Neurospora crassa OR74A: one gene and its partner. Each later gene encodes a partner of the first gene's protein in a complex. Links are inferred from orthologs where the notes say so. Each region holds a gene or a part of one and is shown on either strand. Other genes may lie near its edges.

Region 1 (6,189 bases):
CTTGATTGATCGATCAGGGAGGATATATGTACGATGGATGTAGCGGGAGAATCAAGATGGAATGAAATATGAATACCCGTAAAGAAAAAGAGTTGAGTTTGTTGGGGTGGGATGTGGCGTGACGCTCCTTGAAGTGAAGAGGAGTATGCTCGGTGGGATGTGTCATTGCGGTGACTTGGTGACTCTCGTGGGGGGTTTGGGTGTCGGCTCAGCTTGGGTTGGCTGTGTTGAGGTAATGACTGACGATGAGCGCTACGGAACATCACTTTGTTGATATCTGACGGAACTGTGGTTTGTGTGTCTACGGATTTCCAGGATGGACTTGGGATGGCCTGGCGTATACGGGTTTGAGACTGCGACGTTGTTCTCAAGGTACGACGGCTTCACACACCGGACATCACACCAAAATATGGTCTCATCGAACGGCCTTTCTTCAAGCGCCATTTTGGGTAACGATCAGCCAGCAGCAGCCGTCACATCAGTCGATTAGGTTTACCAGTCACTTCAGTTCGGGACATCAAGCGTGCCGTCCTAATCTGTGTATACTACTGTACATTACATGTCATGTCAAGCAAAACAACATCACCATTGCATATCACACGAAACAGTTTATAACGTTATCCACGAGATTCATGGAAAGACCATTTCTAAACCAGTGTCCTGCCAAAGCATGAAAAAGAAAACCAAACGCCCTAAACCGCGGTCCTTTTGAGTTAACCGTGTACAAACGCCACTGTAATGCAACTCATCATGACCCCCTGATCTTTATTAATCAACCTGTGATTTTTTCCGACCGCCCGCCTGTCCGCCTATAACAAGGATCGATCTGGCCCTATTCCTTCCGAGTGAAGAGTGAATCCCCCACTACTGGTAAATATTACCACAATCGCAGCAGACGTAGAAAAGTTTCTGAAAGTAACGTTGTTAACCCATGACTCTGGTGAGCCCCTCCCAGGCAGGTGAGTGAGTCTTACCATTCCGGTTTCCGAAGTACGCTGCTGTGACTGGAAGAAGACAGCTTCCGGGTGGTGGCAGGCAGGGCATTCCTTGATGGCTCTTGGGAGCTAGATAGCAAACGAAAGAAGAAAAAGAAGAGATTAGTCTCGATGCAAGCCAGAGCAAATGACAAGAACAAGCCAAATCCAGGTCATCGCCTCGCGGACCAGACCCCGCCACCAGACGGACGGAGACTTTTGGGTATGCGCTGTGCTATGCTATGCCGTGCTGTGTGCCAGTCGTGTCGTGTGTCGGGTGCTGTAATCCCGAAGGTGGGCGAACAACCGCGCCGCCATGATTATAGATGTATTATAATCCTGATGTAATGGGTATGCCGTAACCGTAATCGCTGTGACCGTAAAATCAAAAAGTCGTAACCTCGTGAGAGCGGGAGATGCGTCGTCTGCCGGTCATGTCCTAAGCTGCCGGGACTTGAACAGGCAGTTGGCTTGATGCCGCCAACTCCGTGTCGGTGTCGTCGAGCTCCATGTTTTCAGACTCGATGGAGTCCTCCTCTTCTTCGTAGTCCTCAAAGGCGACCAAGTTGTAAAAGTACTCTTCGGCACGGACCCTGCCCATGGCCTCCCTCTCGCTGCTGTTGGAAGCCCAGACATGACTGTTATCGCTCATGTCGATCGTGGTGGCGGCCATCTGGTCGTACAGGGACTCGCAATCGCTGCCGGCTTCGGAGTCGGAGGGAGGGGCGGCAAAGTGGTTCGAACACAGCTCGATGACGCCACAGCACTGGCAGTAGATGTAGGTCGAACCGTCGGCGGGTCGGGGCAAGGTCGACGCAGGCGAGGCGACACCATCACCAACAGCAGCAGAAGAAACAGAAGAGACAACACCCACCGTGGGATCAGAGGCGACATCCTGCGTGACACCAGCCGTCTCGCCGGCAGCGTTGTTGAGGATGTTGCGGTAGATGCACGTCGACGTGGCGGGCTCGGAAAAGTTGCAGGTGCGGCAGGTGAAGAGCAGCTTGTTCTCGTCCTCGGCCTCGCGGGGGTACAGCATGTTGCTGCATTCGGAGCAGAAGCGGAACGTGATCTGCTCAAGGGGCTTCTTCTCCTTGGCGCCACCGGTGCTAGAAGGGGCGGGCGACGACATTTTGGTTGATATGTGTTGTGTGTGTTTTGTGTGTGTATTTGTGTGTGTGGGTGTAATAATAGTTGAAAGAGAAGGCGAAAGGAAGCAGAAAGGTTGTTGTGCCCGTTCCTTTGTGTGGGTGTGTGTTGATGGTGGTTGGTGTTGTTGGGTGAATGGTAGAAATGGATGGATGGATGGATGGATGGACGGATCGCTAATTGAATGCTTGACGATCCCAAGGATGGGCTTGGTTGGCTTTCCTTGTCGGGTGGCGGAAGGATGCAAAAAACTGCTAGTGTAGTGTAGTCAAGTGGAAGTTGAATACTAAGTAGTAGTAAGCTAGTAACAGCAATTGGATCTGATACTTGTCAGCAGTTCAGAGTTAGGTGTTGCTAAAGAGGAAGAAGTTCGTCCGTGGGAAAATGAGAGTCCCAAGATGATTTTAAAAGATGGTGGAAAGAGCCGGAGGTGGAAAATGGAAAATGGAAAATGGAAAATAAAAAAGGCACTGCAGGTGAAGTGGAAGGCCAGCCGAGGAAATGACCAAGAAAGGCGTGGGTGAGGCACGACAACTCCCTCCCACCGACTGCAATGAGTGCTGTGCTGCAGTGAGCAGTCACGTTCGGTCGGGGAGGGATCCATCCAAGTGTCCAGGTGCCAACTGTAATTGCCCTGCCGGCCGGAGCAAAACAGCCCTGGGACCTTGGAAAATCGGGGCCCAAGGAGGGTGACAAGGATGGCTGCCACTGCCAAACCCCTTCACCGCCTTGCCGCTTTGGGTGAAGTCACGGTCAGGGGCAGAACACTGGACAGGCGGGACTCCAGGCTGCAAGTAACAGGCCAGTCAGACCGAAAAGTGTTGCTTGTTGCAGACCATTATTTGGCAAAGCCTCGATTTGGATGCCCGGTTTCGCATGAGCCATGATTCGTTGTGTTTTTATTGCCGACGGAGACCCGAGTGTATCAAACCGCCTCGATCCAAACTTGTCAAGTTCAATTCACTGGAGCGCCATGCATGCTTCCCTCCCCAAAGTGTCTTGTTCTTGGTGTCCTGTCTCGAGTAAACGGGCGAGGACAAGACGCAGTCAACAGGGACCGATACACCATTACAGCGCATCAGGGGCTTCAGGTCTCACACAAAATGACAAGAGAGTACACACTACTGGAATCCACAACGACGTCATGGAGTTGACCACGAGCACCTGTCTGTTAAATGTCATGAGGCTTCAGAGGGGATGGACGCCTTTGTAAATATTTATCATCGTATGTAATATGGATAGTCTTTTGTTGAAAAATTCATCTCGATGTGCCAAATCCTCTCTCTCCTCCCGCCCACCCGTGACCCCAATATTCAAGGGCACAGCAAGTCCGTGTGTGGCACCCACTCTATGCACGGAGAATCACGAGGCCCCAAGGAACTGTTGCGTGGGGTGTCCCGATGCAGCAGCAACTGACGACGGATCGAGAAAGTGTGGATGGCTCATGAGAGGGCGACGAGGATCATGGTGCTCATCCGATGCTACACAGCACACGACCGGGCTGCAGGTTCGCAGCTTTGGTTCCTGTTGTCGAGAACCAACGGGCCGGTACTTCAAGTCTTTCATGTTTGGTGAGGTGTGACCTTTTTGATGAAAACAAAGTATAAAAAACCAGCATGAATTGTTAGTACAACTGGTATCAGTTCAAGTGGCTTCCATAACTCAACCTAATTCATCTCAAATAGAGAACTAAATGAGGCCATCAAGGTGATAAAGAATACTAGAGGTAAGCAAGCAGCCTCAAGCTGACCAAGCAACAACTCGGAGGATGGCAGTGGCACCCACACGAGGACATGTCGACAAGGACAAGAACCTGCTGGGCTTGCCACACCATCCCACTAACAAGATGGTGCCCCTGACAGCTCCGTCCCCGCGAACGAATCCCCAATCGCGGAAAACACAACGGGCGGTACTATGGTACCTATGTACCTGTCCCCTTGCCCGACCCCGCTCCCCCAGAGAAAGTCCCCGCTTTTTGTGCCTTGTGAGGTGTGGAGCCGCCGACAAGCTGACGTCCCTGACGACGGAGAGCTCCATTGCCTAGAACCGGGAGAGTCTTGGCCGGAGTGGTGCTGGATGTTTCTCTGCCTGTTCCTCCTTCCCCCCCCGCCGTTGCCAGGTGATCTAAAAAGTTCAATTCTCCCTTTGTCAATTTCTCCTTCTGTTTTCCATCTCTCCTTTTTGTAGTCGCTTTCTAATTCTCATTGTCGAAGCTCTACCGGCGCAACTCAAGGTACGTCACCATGCCCCTCGCTGGTTGATCACGCGAGTCGCAATTGCGCCTGAACCTCCTTCTCCCCGTTGACATCGCGACCGCCACAAGGCTATCCGCCTACAGTACTCGAGGACTAAGCTACTTACTGACCGCGAACCGCATCGTGCTCTCACAGAACCGACCTACGAACCAATCACCACTACAACCACCACCAAAACCGTCATAATGTCCAACGCAAGTCAACCCACCACTCGCAACATCCAGAACAACAGAGCTGACCCCCCCCCTTCCCCCCTTCCCAGACCATCGAGACCGGTCTCCCCGAAGACTGGGAAGTCCGCCACTCGCAATCCAAGAACCTGCCCTACTACTTCAACAGCGCCACCAAGACCTCTCGCTGGGAGCCACCCTCGGGCACCGACGTCGACAAGCTCAAGATCTACATGGCCAAGTACCACTCGCCCACGAGTCAACAGCAGCAACAACAACAGCAGCAACAACCACAGGGAAAGATCAGGTGTGCGCATTTGCTGGTCAAGCACAACCAGAGCAGGAGGCCCAGTTCTTGGCGCGAGGTGAGTCCCCTTCCCGTTGTCCATTTCAAGTTGCGTCCGGAGTGCCTGGTGTTTGTTGTTGCCTCCGGCGGCCCCTCCGGGGAGGCTCCTTCGGAGGGCTGCTCGCTGCGCTCGTTTTGTTTTTCTTTCTCTCTTTCTGACCGTCGCTAACCACCAATGACAGTCCGAGATTACCCGCACCAAGCAAGAAGCCCTCACTACCCTGCAAGGATTCGAACAGCGCATCAAGTCCGGCTCCATTTCCCTCGGCGAGCTGGCCCTGACCGAGTCCGACTGCTCCTCTGCTCGGAAGCGGGGTGACCTCGGCTACTTTGGACGCGGCGACATGCAAAAGGAGTTTGAGGATGCCGCTTTTGCGTTGAAGCCTGGCGAGATCAGCGGCATCGTGGACACGGCTAGTGGGTTGCATTTGATTGAACGGTTAGTCGACATTTCTTTTCCTCGAAGAATCAGAAGAAGGAAGAGAAGAAGAAGGAGGGTACGGAGAGTATATTGGAGGTGGACGTGTGTTGCGGTTATCTGGTGGTGTGTGGTGACGGCCGCCGCTACTACCGAGTGACACCAGTCGCTGGCAAGACGGACATCATTCGTGAACGAACAAAAGTTTGCTGACGACGACATTGGGGAATGGTACAGGCTCGAGTAGGATCCCGATACGCCACGACGATCAATAATGACCACTGCCTCTGATAAAGAGGAACATCAAAGGGCGCTGAGAGCGTGCATGATAGTATAGGGAAGACGAATTAGGGATTTTGCTTCGAGCGCGGCGCTTTGCGATGGTACGAAGGAGAGGAGGAATTCGAGGGATGAGACCGGGAACACAACTCTTTATATCGGAAACCCAAAAGATGATGGCCGCGATGACGCATTACGCCATTATGCGGTCACTGGAACTTTGATATTGTCGGATTACTGTACGTAGTACGAAAAAGGCAACAAAAGGCTAGGTAGAAATATCTGGGTTCTCCTGGCTCAAGTGCGGATAGGGGGGAAACCCAAAGGAAAACAGCCGGATAGGAACAAAAAGAATAAAAAATAAAAAGCAGACAAAATAAAACATTTCACATTTCGAGACACACACACAATACACAACGGGGACCTAACATGGTCCAATGCCCCAAGTAACTAAGCGACGGCCAGGCAAGCACCCCAAGTGATTCCTAGCTTGAGTACTAGCTATTTACTTAGATTACCTCCGATCCCCTCTCTATGTGGCTGGCTGGGGTTCGAGACCTAGGAAGATGGAAAGACAGAATCGACATGTCTGGAGCTA
Region 2 (6,927 bases), on another chromosome or scaffold:
GGATCTTGGGGGTCAGCTTGGAGTATAATGGATAGAACGTGGTAGAGGTAGGTTGGTAGGGCTGAGTATCATGAGGGGCAGCCTGTGGATGGCCGCTTGGTTCCCGGCCACGCTGCCTCCTGGTAGTGCCGAACAGACGGATCTTGCCATTACGTTTGTGGCTTATTGGACCAACCCAGCTCCCATCACCCACCATTTTGAAGAGAATTTTGACGCAATAAGAGGCCACCGGCTGCGCCCACTCCCCAGCGCGGGACCACCGACCATACGCTTAGCATGGGTTTAGCGGTCATTGGCATTGGTGAATCGCCCCCGCCAGCATCCTGCCTATAGTTCCTGACCTTTTCCGAAGATGACGTGAGACGCCTTTTCTCCCATCGCTTATCCCGGTCTCGTTCAGCAGTATCAAATTGCCACTCGACGACTCCCCGAATTGTCCAAAAAGCATCCGTATCCGGCTTCATTGCTAGGCGTGAAAGGATTAGTTGAAACTGGACAAGTGGACAGACTTCATTGAACAATAGCCTGTGAGGTCGATGAAGCCTTCGGGGCTTGTCTGCCCGCGGCAAGTGCTATGCCATCCAGCCGTTGAGATCCTAAAATATCCAGGCACCCATAATACCGGGGTATAACTTGAAGAGCGGGACCGCCAAGTTACTAGGTCGAGTGTCGACTAGCTACTGCGGCGGTTGAGGGCTGTGGTATTCGCGGATTAACAGCGGCTCGGCTGAAAACAAGAAGCTGTCAAGCAGGCCATATGGGCTTTTGATATAGGCATGATAACAGGGTATAGGTCGCCAACTGATTTAGTTCCAAATTGGTAAAAAGATGATGGATGAGATGCGAGCCGGCCAGATATGGATTGGATGTCGAGGAACATGAAGGCGTAGGTAGTTGGAAGATGAATGGGTGAGAGGATGAAAAGAGACCAATGTCGAGGTTTCAGTCATTTCACTTTGGGGAAAACAAAATGCCAAGCCTTACCTACCCTTCACCCCACCCATGCCTTGATGGATGGAACCTTTCCGCCCGCTACGCCAGGCGATCAATGGACTTTGGTTTTTTTTTGTTTTTTTTTTTCTCTTGCGGTGTTGCCCCTCTGTGGCCCTCGGACATTCACTCCGTCGCAACCACCTATGACCATCCCTACAGCAGTGACCCCGCCGCTTACGACATCCGTGAAACTTTCTTCCCGAGACTCATTACAACACCATCTCTGCGCAAACTGAAATCTGCAACAACTTTGATTTTATCCGACAGATAACACAGAGATCACCAAACGATCTTCCACGCACCCGTGCACAGCTGTCGCACCATGGCTTCGACTTCGGCATCGTCTGCCGCCAAGGCTGACCAGCCTGTTGCCATCGTCTGCGTTGGCATGGCAGGTAGGTCTACGCATGCTCATGTTCTGTGCTTTTCCCAACCGCAAGCGGAATCATCCAGCTGACCATGTTCCCCAGGATCCGGCAAGACAACCTTTATGCAACAGATCAATGCCCATCTCCACGGAAAGAAGGAGCCTCCTTATGTCATCAACCTCGACCCAGCAGTCACCCACTCGCCCTTCGAGAGCAACATTGACATCCGCGACTCGGTCAACTACAAGGAGGTGATGAAGCAGTACAACCTCGGCCCCAACGGCGGCATTCTCACATCGCTGAACCTCTTTGCCACCAAAGTCGACCAGGTTCTCGGCCTGCTCGAGAAGCGCACGGCGCCCAAGCCCGACGACCCGACGCACACGCCCATCAAGCACATTCTCGTCGACACGCCGGGCCAGATCGAGGTGTTCGTCTGGTCCGCGTCGGGCCAGATTCTCCTTGAGTCGCTCGCCTCATCCTTCCCCACCGTCATCGCCTACATCATCGACACCCCCCGGACGAGCTCGACGTCGACCTTCATGAGCAACATGCTGTACGCCTGCAGTATCCTTTACAAGACCAAGCTGCCCATGATTCTGGTCTTCAACAAGTCGGACGTTAAGGACCCGGCTTTTGCAAAGGAGTGGATGACCGACTATGATGCGTTCCAGGCTGCGCTGCAGGAGGACGAGACCAACAACGCGTTTGGCGGAGCGGAGGGCAGCGGCGATGGCATGGGCTCGGGCAGCGGATACATGGGCTCGCTGTTGAACAGCATGAGTCTGATGTTGGAGGAGTTTTACGCACATCTGAACGTGGTGGGCGTCAGTTCGCTGTACGGGACGGGCATTGACGAGTTCTTTGCCGCGGTTCAGGAGAAGGCAGAGGAGTTCAAGCGCGATTACCAGCCTGAGCTCGAGAGGAGGCGCGAAGAAAGGGAGGAGAACAAGAAGAAGGCGCGGGAGAGGGAACTCAACAAAATGATGAAGGGAATGTCGATGGGCGACGCGGCGGGCGACGTCACAGTGGGTGACGTCAATGATAAAGAGGCCCCCGAGCCGTTGAGCACGGACGAGGAGAGCAGCGACGAGGAATATGGTGACGATCCCAACGACGAGTATGACCGCGAGGGATTGCAGGCGAGGTACGCCGCTGCCATGCAGGGCGAGGATGATTCGGTTTTGGCCGACGCAAGTTTTGCAAAGTACCTCCACAGCCAGAGGTGATGAGATTGGCCATTGGTAAGGAAAGGATTTATGGAGCAGTGTTGGCAAGACAAGTGATCGAGAGGGAAGGAGATTTAGCATACAACCGGCGTTTTCAGAGTGATACCATACCAATATTCTATATGGCAAAAAACATGATCAATAATGAGAAGCATCACAGAACGGATCCATCTGATGGTGATAGGTGATGATGACGATGATGAAAAGCAATGCTTTCTTTGTATAAATTCCCACAAGTCTACCGATATTTCCCAGAACGCCGCCATCATGATATTGTGATGAATATGATATCTCCCTTCTTCTGATCACAACAAGCCGTAGGTTCAAGGCTGGGCCATGCTAAGCCACCGCTAATGGTGCAAAATCACACCAAGATATCGACGGTTCGAGTCTCCTACGGTCCCAGCTCCCCTCGACAAATGTTCCCGTTGCCTCCAAGGCTGACTCGGCTCCCGTCCTTGGGCATCAGGACATCCCGGCCGGTCCAAATACGATGAAAACTTCAGCCCGATACGGCATCGAGGAAGAGCGACCCCTTTCTACACCTCCTTTGTTGGCCCCAAGTCGAACAAAGTCGAATAAGAAACCATTTACCGAGCCTCGAACTGAACCATTCTATTACCCCCAGACCGTCGTTAGCATAAGATTTTTCTCTCCCACCTTCTCAGAATCTTCCACCGGGTAAGCCCAAAGAAAACGTACCTCTTGGTGCGCTCCTTATACAAAACACGCGCACCGCACTTCTGGCAACGGATAGGAGCGCCCTTCTCGAGCGGCACGCGGACCGCGCAGTCGCCGCAAGTGTACCACATGACGCTGCTGCCACCGCTGTTGCCGTCGTTGTTAGAGGCACCGGTGGTGAAGCCCTGGGAGTTGGGGACCTGGTATTGCTCGCGGGAAGACATCTTGGTTGTTTGTGTTGTGTTGAGGGTGGTGTGGTATTTGTGGTTTGGGTTTGTTTGTCGTCGGGTTTGCTCGGATAAATTGGATGACGGTTATGCAACGTGTAAGATTGTCTTTGTGTTGAGGCGACGACAAATCGATGTTATGCGATTTATAGCGATATGCGACGATGATGTCGTTCGGTTGATGATGATGATGATGTTGAATATTTACCGGTGGAGTGGTTTGCGACGGACGAGAGGGACGGAGCGCTACCTATACAGGCGACTGAGTTTCAACTGGACGCGAACAACGAAAGGTAAAAAAAGGCGGGACGCTGAGGCAGAAAGTTCCAGACTTTGACAAAGGGTGACAGAAGCAGGCGGCGTTCGGACTTTGCGAATGCAAGTTACCCCTGTCATATCATGATAAATTCTCCACTCTTCTGTGGGTAGCTGTCAGCGCGGCAGGCAATTCCCCCACGTTTTCGGCGGAGTTTGGAGGCCGAGGTTGTTCGCGGCAGCCCTGGCGCCTCACCACTGCACACCACCGGGTCGATGCCCGCCGGCAAGCGGAGGTAAGACAGGGACGGGGAACGGGCCCGGTGCTTCACTTGTGTTTGGCTTTGGGGTCTTTTCAGATGCCGCCCCGGACCTCTCGTCCCGTACTTCACTGAGCTACTATTTAGTCATCAGCTAGAAATCATCATACAAGAGTCATTAGTGGTGTTTCCTTTTCGGATTTGTCACGGAGCAAGGCGTTCTTCTTGATTATTTGTTTGACATTCTGTCGCATTGGTCCTTGGTTACGGGGCGTACTCAGCAAACAATCATTCTCGGCATCATTACATAGCGAGATCAGCTTCACTCCTAGCCCTTGTCGAGATTTCCCTTGAGTATTTCTTCAGTTCAAGTTTAACTCGGGGCTCTTCGACATATACAATCGTTCAAACACATCACTACGTCATACGCCAGACTGCAGCCATGGCCTCTTCAACCGACAAGAAGCCACCAGCAACACCAGTTCCACGCTCCATCGTCCCCGACGCCAACACTTTCGACCCCAGCCTTCCCGCCTCCAAGACAGGCGCCGGCGCCACTAACACCTCATCCTCATCCTCCTCCGATACCCAACCCAACTGTCCCTTCTGCCACATCTCCTCGACCTTCCCCCCCTACCCCCCTACCACCCCCCCTTCTCCCTTCCCCCCCTCCACCTCCACCTCCCCACAACCACAAACCTTCCTCCTCCTCTCCACCCCCCTCCTGATCGCCTTCCTCGACATCATGCCCCTCTCCCCAGGCCATCTCTTACTCTGCCCCCGTCGGCACGCCGCCAAACTCACCGACGTTCTTCCCGATGAAGCCGCCGAATTGGGGCGTTACCTACGGATCCTCTCGGAAGCAGTGACGCGGGCGACGGGAATCAAAGACTGGAACGTGGTCCAGAACAACGGGTCGGCCGCGGCGCAGGTTGTTGAGCATATGCATTTTCATATCATTCCCAGGCCAGGGCTGAGGGAGGCTGAGAGATTTACGAGTACCATGTTTGGGAGGGGGAAAAGGGAGGATTTGGATGAGGACGAGGGGGAGGAGTTGGCGAGGAGGGTGAGAGGGTTTGTCACGGAGGTGGTTAGGGAGGAGGAGGAGGAGGGGGAGAGGGGGCTAAGGGAGAAAGCGAAGCTGTAGGGAGCGGGGTTGGTCGGAACGGATGTCACAGATGTGTGGTCACGGAGCATAGCCAGTCATTAATCTCGAGCGAGCATTTTCTGGTGTCATTATTCATTATTGTTCATCTATGGGGGGAATATCTTGCCAGCATCCTCTTGGCTGCACGGTGTACGACGCTTAGTCGCTGTCGCCAGCACCGAAGAAGATCTTGACAGGCAACCAGTCATCGCCGCAGACCTTGAAGCTGTTCTCCTTGTGAACCTCATCAATCTGAGCAATCTCCTCATCGGTCAAGCTCCAGCCCTCGAGATCAATGTTGGCCTTGATACGCTCCTCAGTGACGCTCTTAGGCAGCACACTCCAGCCCTTCTGGACACCCCATCTAAGGAGAACCTGCTGCACAGTCTTGCCCTTGGACTCGGCGAGCTTGGTGAGGCTGTTAAGCTTGTAAAGCGGCGAGTCGCTGCTACCGAGGGGCGAATAGGCCGAAGCATGAATGCCCTTCGAGCGCAGATACTCGACAAGGTGGGGGGACGGGTTACCAGGATGAAGTTCGATCTGGTTAACGGCGGGAACAATCTGTAATTATATGTGTGAGGTCCTCATCAATTCACAACAAAACTTGAAGAGGAGGAGGAGCACAATCTTGCTTACCTTGGTGCTCTCGGCGCTCAAAAGCTTCTCCAGGTTCTTGACGCCAAAGTTGCTGACACCAATGTTCTTGACCTTGCCGGTGTCAACCAGCTTCTGCATCTCGCGCCAGGTGTCCACAAAGTCCCAGTCGTTGTACACCTCCTTGGTGTTCCCCTTGACAAGACTGGCGGGCCAGTGCATCAGGTAGAGGTCAACGTAGGGGGTGTCCAGGTTCTTGAGCGACGTATCGATAGCCTCGGCGACATGCTTGTGCCAGTCGTTGTCCAGCTTGGTGGTGAGCCAGATCTTCTCGCGTGGGACGCCGGAGGCCTTGATGCCTTGGCCAACCTCCTTCTCGTTGCCGTAGGCATACGCGGTGTCGATGTGAGTATAGCCGGCACGTAGGGCGGCCTCGACGGCCTTCTCGACCTGACCAGGCTTGGACTGCCAGGTTCCGAGGCCAACGGCGGGGATCTCGTCGCCCGTGTTGAGCTTGTGAGTCTTGCTGCTGTTGACAGTTGTAAGCTCGGGTGAGCTTCTTCTAGGGGTTTCTCCTGGCACTTCATCCCCAAAGTAAAGGTACTTACAGAGGAGCCATGGTGTTTGTTTTACTGAAGAAATATCTGGCGGTGTTTGTGATGTTTGGTATTCTGGGAATTGCGCGTGAGACAGGCAACATGAAAGACAACAGAAAGTTTGAATGATTGAGAATCAACGACGACTGGAAGGGCAGTTCAACATGATTTATAAGGCTTGGAGCCCCATCTCTTAGTCAACCCCCACTTTCTCCTCCCACGAACGGTGGAGAGCCGATTCCTATCCGTTCCAATGTAATCTTCTCCATCATTCTGGTGCCTGTTTGTATTACTGTACGAACTGCCTTTGACGGATTGTGGCTCTCTATCCCACGCTTCTACATATGTGATGACGTTGATGGCAACCATAAGGTACCATAGCCCCGCACCTCCGGGGATAACAAAGAAGAGCAACCTAGCTTTATGCAAGTTCCAAGTTCCTGCAGGTTCCAAGGTCGGAGCGCAAACTGGGGGGCCAAACTCCAAATGGTGGGGGGACGCCGCTCTGTGGAGCGGATTGGGGACAACTGGCGCAGGTCCCGTCATAGCTAAGACGGGAAGGACGGGTAGCCCGGCC

What was found. The genes of interacting proteins can lie anywhere in the genome.
Region 2: NCU08553 (region 1) and NCU04508 share a complex: the UniProt entries of both Saccharomyces cerevisiae proteins name them as parts of the RNA polymerase II (Pol II) complex. The link is inferred for Neurospora crassa OR74A from reciprocal best matches to the Saccharomyces cerevisiae genes RPB9 and RPC10.

Annotation. Positions count from the first base shown.
Region 1 is NC_026503.1:4,946,259-4,952,447, reverse strand, and holds NCU08553 (DNA directed RNA polymerase II 15 kDa subunit), read right to left. Parts: upstream 2,673-6,189; 5' UTR 2,107-2,672; coding exon 1,849-2,106; intron 1,065-1,848; coding exon 975-1,064; intron 910-974; coding exon 865-909; 3' UTR 503-864; downstream 1-502. Other genes in the region: peptidyl-prolyl cis-trans isomerase ssp-1, read left to right, coding at 4,564-4,572, 4,641-4,913, 5,077-5,333, 5,550-5,559. UniProt on the Saccharomyces cerevisiae protein: DNA-dependent RNA polymerase catalyzes the transcription of DNA into RNA using the four ribonucleoside triphosphates as substrates. Component of RNA polymerase II which synthesizes mRNA precursors and many functional non-coding RNAs.
Region 2 is NC_026504.1:3,139,014-3,145,940, reverse strand, and holds NCU04508 (hypothetical protein), read right to left. Parts: upstream 3,827-6,927; 5' UTR 3,496-3,826; coding exon 3,293-3,495; intron 3,206-3,292; coding exon 3,181-3,205; 3' UTR 2,737-3,180; downstream 1-2,736. Other genes in the region: NCU04507 (ATP binding protein), read left to right, coding at 1,316-1,388, 1,464-2,590; NCU04509 (HIT domain-containing protein), read left to right, coding at 4,456-5,160; gcy-3 (aldose reductase), read right to left, coding at 5,320-5,721, 5,797-6,283, 6,363-6,454. UniProt on the Saccharomyces cerevisiae protein: DNA-dependent RNA polymerases catalyze the transcription of DNA into RNA using the four ribonucleoside triphosphates as substrates.